Linked DNA regions of Schizosaccharomyces pombe. The protein of the gene in region 2 binds, or shares a complex with, the protein of the main gene of each other region. Each region holds a gene or a part of one and is shown on either strand. Other genes may lie near its edges.

Evidence for each region.
Region 1: nuf2 (region 2) and mis13 share a complex: the UniProt entries of both Schizosaccharomyces pombe proteins name them as parts of the NMS super complex.

What each region holds. Positions count from the first base shown.
Region 1 is NC_003423.3:1,153,612-1,157,757, forward strand, and holds mis13 (MIS12/MIND complex Mis13/Dsn1), read right to left. Parts: upstream 2,011-4,146; 5' UTR 1,991-2,010; coding exon 1,001-1,990; 3' UTR 693-1,000; downstream 1-692. Other genes in the region: SPOM_SPBC409.08 (spermine family transporter), read left to right, coding at 1-129; ade7 (phosphoribosylaminoimidazolesuccinocarboxamide synthase), read left to right, coding at 3,507-4,146. UniProt on the Schizosaccharomyces pombe protein: Acts as a component of the NMS (Ndc80-MIND-Spc7) super complex which has a role in kinetochore function during late meiotic prophase and throughout the mitotic cell cycle.
Region 2 is NC_003424.3:4,321,020-4,325,075, reverse strand, and holds nuf2 (protein Nuf2), read left to right. Parts: upstream 1-1,852; 5' UTR 1,853-1,868; coding exon 1,869-3,194; 3' UTR 3,195-3,556; downstream 3,557-4,056. Other genes in the region: SPOM_SPAC27F1.05C (aminotransferase), read left to right, coding at 1-1,424; ubiquitin hydrolase Uch1, read left to right, coding at 3,601-4,056. UniProt on the Schizosaccharomyces pombe protein: Acts as a component of the NMS (Ndc80-MIND-Spc7) super complex which has a role in kinetochore function during late meiotic prophase and throughout the mitotic cell cycle.

The DNA.
Region 1 (4,146 bases), on a different chromosome or scaffold from region 2:
GATGGTATGACTCGTCAATGGGCCTTCTTTTTGTTGGGTATGGTTGCCGTTGCCGCTATTCCCATTCCTTTCACCTTTTACTTGTTTGGTGATAAGATTCGGGCTAGATCCAAGGCCGCTATTGTTTAAAACAGCTTGTTTTGTGTCTTTTTTTTCGTTATGCATTTGGTTTGCGTTGTGTACATGCAAGGAATTTAAAGCCTCTATTATTTCAGTTGGCTATCCCACTTTTTTAAAAGATATGCCAACAATCTTGGCTTCGTAAAGCGGTCAGAATTTGCTGCTTTGCTTTTTTCGCCTCAGGGATCATTCCATAAGTGAACTTAGATATGTTCCTTAAGCATGCTTCCACCTATCCATTGCTAAAATTTTTTAAAATTCTTTAGCTCATGTCCCCACAGTTTCAGTTTGGGTTTGGGATTTCTTGAATTTGTCTCCAATATTGGTGCACCGTTGCGTTTGAGAAGCTGCCTTAATATTTAAATAATGTCCAAGCTTCATAGAAATCGTGGTTTTTTTTTAATTTCATGTATGCGGTTTTGTGTTTGAAAGTTTTACGTTACTATTATGACGGAATTTACCACGTGTATTCTGGTTATCATAAAGCTATTGTTAATTACACGTTACATGTTTCGAAACCTGCGACGATGTCTGCTCTCGCTTTTTAAAATTTAATTATAGAATATAGACTTTAGAGATAAAGCTATTTATTTCTCAAATATTTCAAATTAATTAACTATGAAACCTTTGATAAATTCTAAATATTGGGTGAATAGTAGCAGTTATGTATCGTACATTGAGTGTAGATAGTAATGTGAGTGCGCGCTACTACTATAGGAGTTCCTTTGAAATAACGTATAACATGAATTTTCAAACACAGTCCAGCTGGTTTGCACACCTTCATTATTAGTTAATTAGCAGCAATGGCACGCAAAAAGACATAAAATTAACGTAAAAATAAGTAAAAATTTGGGCATAACAGTATCAGATTAATCCAATTTTAAACTGATTCGTTTGAGGAAGATTTATAGGAAGCTTCTGATAAAAGCCTTAATAAATTCATAGTATCCACATATTTGGAGAAGGACAACAAACTTTTACGATGGGCTATGAAATCCTGGGCAGCAAGGCGACCATATGATGATCGGACTTCAGGTCCAGCGTTAGTCAAAGAATGCAAGGTATGAATATTTTCAGCAAGCATGTCCAGGAGAGTGTGGAATTTTGGTTTCAGCTTACTTATATTAGGAAGTTCTGGTGCATCATCTGGGGGTAATGGAGAGTCCTGTTTATCAAGGTCTTGTTTAGAATCTATGGATTCTACAGCTTTTTTAAAAGATAAAATTGATTTATCTGAACTGACGGAATTAGCAGCAACAGCCCGCCATGCAGCTTCTTCATTATGGAGTTGGGTAAGCTTTGCCGACAGTTCGTCCACTAGCTGAGCATTTTTGAGATTTTGAGGATGAGGTTTATTAGGAATTACAGCATCAGGTGGTCTTTGATACCAACTAACACTAACTTTATTAGCCAATAATTCGTTAAGAACTTCTTGAACTATTGATCTAGCAATAGCTGCCTCACTGGCTTCCTCCGTTTCACCGTATTTTTTTCTTTGCTCTTCTAAGGCCTTTGAAGAAGCCCAAAGGAGAAGTTGTTTGATACGTAAAGGTTCGGATAAGTCTTTGGATATATGGCGATAGTATTCATGCGATGGAACATCTGCATGTGGTAAAGCTTCAAATCCAGTACCAATGCTACTAGCACGCTTACCCCGTTGGTCAAGACTACTCCTTCTTCCTTTACCCTTGCGAAGTTCTTTGTTTCGCTTCACAATTGGTGTATCAGACACGGGTAGCTCAACTAACCCATCGGTTTGGGAGGTATCTGGATCATCCTCCACAGATGATTTCCTTCTTTTAGAACCAGCTTTTTCTTTACCCTTCCTAACGAATACAAATCCTTCCTGCTCTTCAGGCTTTCGTTTCATAATGGATGCTGGTTAGGGTCAAGTCGAGTCAGGATTGCAAAGACTACCTTACTCATTGTTTACACTAGGTAACCTAACAAAGTATAGCGAGCGCGTTATAAGTCGGCCTTACAATTGAGCATTGAAAATTCATCAAAGCAAAGTATATTCATGTAGAGAATAAATAAAAAAATAAATAATGATTAAATTCTTTTTTACTGTTAAGTATTCCTTTCTTTTTGGAGATACACTTGTTACAACTTGGTATAAAATATTTGTTTAATTGCTAGATTATCTTCGAACTTGCAAAAACAAAAATATATATCCTTTTTTCTGCTGTAAAATAATAAGAATAATAATTTTAACATAATCCATTGAATGGTTGGTTAATTCCCCTTATAAATTCATAAGACCTCTTCTTATACTATATCAAGTTTACTGTTTATGTAATATATATATATATATATATATATAATTGAGGAATGCGACATGAAATGCTAAGCTGAAAAGTTATGCAAATTACAAAATGTGGATATTATTACCATTAAAACTGTTTACAGTTTTTGACAAATAGTCAAGATGTCCATGAGCTGCCAGGATTGAGCTTGTACTTTATCATAATTGTTGAAAAATATAGCGACGATAAATAAGATGAATAATCAAATATAAGTATAATGAAAAATATTCGAGTATTCTATATGTACAAAATCTAAATTGTAGTAATTTTCAGACTTAGCTGGTTATTGTTGATTTTAAATCGCTGCATATTATTTACAGAAAGTACCCAATTTTAGATTACATGGCTTTGCAGACAAGCCAGAACTTTAAGGATCCAGTATAGTTTTAAGAATTAAAAGTTTGAATTATCCTACTCTTAAAACACTTCCTATATAAAGTTGTTTCAAAATATTCTGCAGTCAAAAAGGCAACAGTAGTCGGTGTTTAAAGCTCTTTTTAACTTAAGTGAAGTAATAGTTTTCTTATTATAATTATTAATTTATTTGTTTTATTTATTTTAATTAAACATGGAATTTATAACCACAGCATGTCCTGTACAACTTACTTTTCGAGCACTTACTTAGGTTGCCATCATCCTCAAATACGAATTTATTTCGGAATTTTTAAATTCTTTATAATTGAAAAGAATCTTTACTGATTATCTGTTCTTAATCTGTCTCAGTGTATTGCCAAGATCTACGACGATCTGTCTCATCTCTCTTGTATCTTTCCTTTCTACTACATCGAAAGTTAGAGTTAACTGGATTCATTGAAACCAGGGTTTTTTGGAGCCAATTCTAAGTGGTATGTTATGTAATAGTATCCTTTTTGATAATTGTAATTGCTTTTGTTTCTCTGAAATTTTTAATCGATGTTCTATGTTATACTATATAGACCTCATACAGAAGAAGCATATTAAAACGAAATGAAAAGAGATCACACGGATTTTCTTTAAATACTTTGTTATTTTTATACCAAAAGCTAATTGTCTTCAAGTGGAATAGTTTAAACCTTCATTTCTACATCAAGTTCATTTCAAATGGCATTATTAAAAACTTCGTTGGATGCTCCATTCACTAAAATTGCTACCGGCAAAGTCAGAGACCTGTATGAGTGTGTAGAATTTCCCGATGATCTTTTGTTCGTAGCAACAGACAGAATAAGCGCCTATGATTTTATCATGGAGAACGGCATCCCTGAGAAGGGAAAGGTTTTGACAAAAATTTCAGAATTTTGGTTTGATGTTTTAAAACCTCATGTCCAAACTCATTTGATTACTTCTAGGTGGGAAGAATTACCTCCTGTTATCACGAAGCATGAAGAGTTAAAGGATAGATCCATGCTCGTTAAGAAATACAAGATTCTTCCTATCGAAGCTATTGTTCGTGGCTATATCACTGGAAGTGCTTGGAAGGAATATCAAAAGCAAGGGACTGTTCATGGCCTTAACGTACCTACAGGAATGAAAGAGGCAGAGGCCTTCCCTGAACCCCTTTTCACCCCCAGCACCAAAGCTGCCGAAGGCCATGATGAAAACATTCATCCTGATGAAGTCAGTAAAATTGTTGGACCTGAATTAGCCAAACAAGTTGCTGAGACTTCTGTAAAGCTTTACAAAATAGCCCGTGATGTTGCATTAAAGAAGGGAATCATCATTGCCGATACGAAATTTGAATTTG
Region 2 (4,056 bases):
CCTCAAAGACGGTTGAACTTAACACAAATGGTTCAAAAACCGATGCCTCCTCCGAAAATGGAACAGCCAGCAATTATCCTGAGGGTTTGTGGTGCTTCGACGAAGCCATGAAAATGGACCCAGAAACGACTGTCAAGTTACAACTCGACCACTTAAACAAGTTACGCACTGTCCATGGCCACGCTCGCAATTTTGTGAAAGCTGATAATTCTCGTTTTGTTGATGAAAAGGGTACTGAGCATCTGGACTTAATTGGAGGCGTTGGAGTCGTAACGGTCGGTAACAACAATCAGTATGTTTGGGATTGCTTACAGAAATGCTTTGATGCCAAGTTATATATGATGGGTGCCATTTCCTATCGTAACCTTGCAGCTGCCTTTGGTCGCAATATGGCTTTGCTATCTCCTGGTCAAAAACTTACTCGCACATGGACTGCAACCGGTGGTGCTGAAGCTAATGAGGGAGTTATTAAATTGATTCGCCTTGCTACCCGTTATAAGCCTAACAAGAAAAAGTTTCTTTCTACTTTGAACTCTTTCCATGGTAAAACCACTGGTGCCGTCTTTTTAGGCGGCAAAGAAAAATGGCAAAAATATCAAAGTCCTGCTCCTTTCGACGTTGACTACGTCCCTTACGGTGATGCGGAAGCACTTCAAGTTGCCTTATCCTCTGGTATGTACCGTTCATTCATTGTTGAGCCTATTCAAGGCGAAGGTGGTGTTATTGTCCCTCCTCCAGGTTATCTTGCAAAGGCTCGTGAACTTTGCACTAAGTACGATACATATCTCGTTTTAGACGAAATTCAAACCGGTTGTGGTCGTACCGGTAAATTCTGGGCCTGTGAATACGAAAACATCATTCCGGATTGTATCGCTTTCGCCAAAGGATTTTCAGGCGGACTCATTCCATTTGCAGGGTATATCGCTACAGAGGAGCTTTGGAATGCTGCTTACAATTCCCTTGAAACGGCTTTTCTGCACACTGCCACTTATCAAGAAAACACTCTTGGACTTGCCGCCGGTGTTGCTACCATCGATTATATCGTGCAAAACGACCTTCTTTCTAGATGCCGCAAGTTAGGTGGTATCATGTTTGATCGTCTTAATAAACTTCAAACAAAATTCCCTCATGTTATGAAGGATGTTCGTGGTCGAGGAATGATAGTTGGTATTGAATTTTATCCCATTCCTGAGTCAGTTCAAGAAGAATTCGGCGAATACTATGCAACTCCTATTGTCAATGACCTTGCCGATACATATCACGTCCAAGTCTACTGTTCACTCAATAATCCTTCAGTTTTCCGCTTCCTTCCTCCTTTAACTATTCCAGAAGCCGACTTAGACGAAGGTTTGTCAGCCGTTGAATCTGCTGTTGCAAAGTTTGATGCTAAGGTTAAGGAAGCTGTTGCAGCCAAGTCAACCTAAAACTTTGGTTTCATCTATCATTAGCCCTTTCAGGCTTTTAGTAAAGTTGGGTCATCAGGCATAAATGTTAATTTTTTTATCTTCTTATCTAGTTTCAGCTTTTATATGCTCCTTATATTGTTTCTTGCTTACATGCAACGTTTGAGATAAACCATCGATTGTAAAATTATATAAACTATATAGAACTATTTTAAATCAAATCGTTCACTTTTTAAAAAAGATATATAAAACGGAGTTGTTAATTTACTATGTATGACAGAAGAAAAACTTATACGAAATTCAGCTTTGTTCTTGATTTTTTAAAAAGAATGAAAAATTGAATATCTAGAACATGCAACTAAATAAAAAATTTAAATTTTATTTTATTATATTTATAATTAAATTCACAATCAAAGCAGATTAAATACGTAAAATCCAGTTGTTCAGTTAACCATCAACTTTACCATGGCACGAAAACACACATTTCCTTCTTTGAAGCGTGCTGAGATTTTAGAATGCATAGATGGTCTTGGAATTCCATTCACGGCTAAAGAGCTTGACCAACCAACCTCGAAAGCCGTCATCCCTCTGTATGAAGAATTTCTTGACTTGTTTATGGGGTTGACCCGCCAGAATTTAGAAGAGAAGGTTAATTCGTTACAAGATTCTGTCGAGAATTTCGAGATAATACATGAGTCTTTAAGATTTACTGTTTTTTATCAGATTTTAAGTCAATTCATGCAAAACATCTGTTTTCATGACTTTACGATTCAAGACCTATTGAAACCAGACAGAAATCGACTACAACTAATTTTATCAGCAGTTATTAATTTTGCAAAACTCAGAGAAGAGAGGTTACAGCAATTTGATGATGATATACAGAAGCGAGAAAGCCTTCTGGAAACGTATACCCTTTTAGATGCACAACGAAAAGATTTAGAGGAAAAAGTTTTGTTAAGCCAAGATAGGAAATTGGAAAGTGAGGCAATTATTAAACAGAATGAAGAAAGAAACGAAGAAATGTTTCAGTCTTTGATAGAAGACAAACGATTGTGCTCTCAAGTTCGTACAGAATATGATCGCATTAGAATGGAGGCCTCAGAGTTAAAGATTAGGTATCACAACGTCGATTCATTAATGGCCAGTACTTTGGAAGAAATTGAAAAACTTCAGTCCTCTATTGTACATTCTCCTGAAAAGCTGAAAGGAAAGATAGCAGACACATCGTTACGGATACAAAATGATCGGTCGCAGCAAGTGGAACTGGATAAAAAGTCAAAAATTCTGCATACAAAATTGAACAGTTTACAGTTAATTGAAGGAGACTTGAATGCTTGTTTGAAAGTGCTTGAAGAATGTCTTGTAGAATTGGATAAACTGGAACATGCTACTGTGTTGCTTTCTACAAATCAAGAGCTTTGCGATCAAATAGAAATAAACAAAAAAAAACTTGAGTTCAGAAAAGAACAACTTTTAAAGCAATTATCTAATGCTCAAGAAAAACTCGAGCATGAACAACATTCTCGAAATCAAAAACTTGAGGCTGCCAAACAACGAATGGACAACATACGGGAAGAATACAAAGTAATTACCCAAGAAAGGAATAAAAAGATTCAGGAGACTGAAAAGAAAAATGCCATGATAGAGATGACCGAACAAAAAATTGCTGGAATGCGAGAAGAACTGGAGTCTCAAATATCCTCTATAACTATGGAATTCGAAAAATTGAAATCGCACGTGGAGCTTTATATTGCTGAACTTCTCAGAAACTTAAGGTCTTCTAACTCTTAGTATCTTCATTTTGAAAAATCTTTATTCGTGCAAATATTTCAACACTACCTATAAGAACGTTGGTTGGACTTCGAAGCCAGAATTTTAGATTTTACAGTAAATGTATATAGGTAAATCTTGGTAATTATTAATATTTTATGACTCTATTTATAATATACCTATGGAACAATCCCTATTTTTACAGTCATCTTCATAGCTGAACGTGACAGGATATTGAAGTATAGGATACTGATTATAGTAAAGCTTTTTTGTAGATTCCCAAAATTGGCAATCTAAAGATATTCGATTAACTTTGTCAAACTTTGGTGTTTTGCCTCTTTGCTGACTTCTGAGACCTCTGCCACGCCTTCCAAACCTGATCAAAAAAGCCTCAATTAGAGCCATTTATCATTCGAGAAAAATTACAATGTGGAGGCCTTTAGAAAATACACCAGAGGTGCTGGAACCTTACTTACAAAAAATCGGTGTACAAGATGCTAGCGTTTTTGACCTGTTTTCATTAGAGGAAATCCCCGAATATATCCCTCGTCCTGTCCATGCTCTTTTATTCGTTTTTCCATCCTCAGGAACAAAAACTATATATAAAGGATCACGAATTTTACCAAAGGATAGTGACAAAGTCTTGTGGTACCCTCAAACAATTCCAAATGCTTGCGGAACGATTGGATTGCTACATGCGGTTTCGAATGGAGAACTTAGAAGAAAAGTCAATGAAAATGATTTTATTAAAAGTCTAATCAGAACTGCTGAAGGTTCATCTATCGAAGAAAGGGCTAAGCTTATCGAGGATTCGAAAGAACTTGAAGCTTTACATGCAGCATTTGCTGGTCCACCTTTGGAAGTAGAGGGGTCTGAGGAAGAT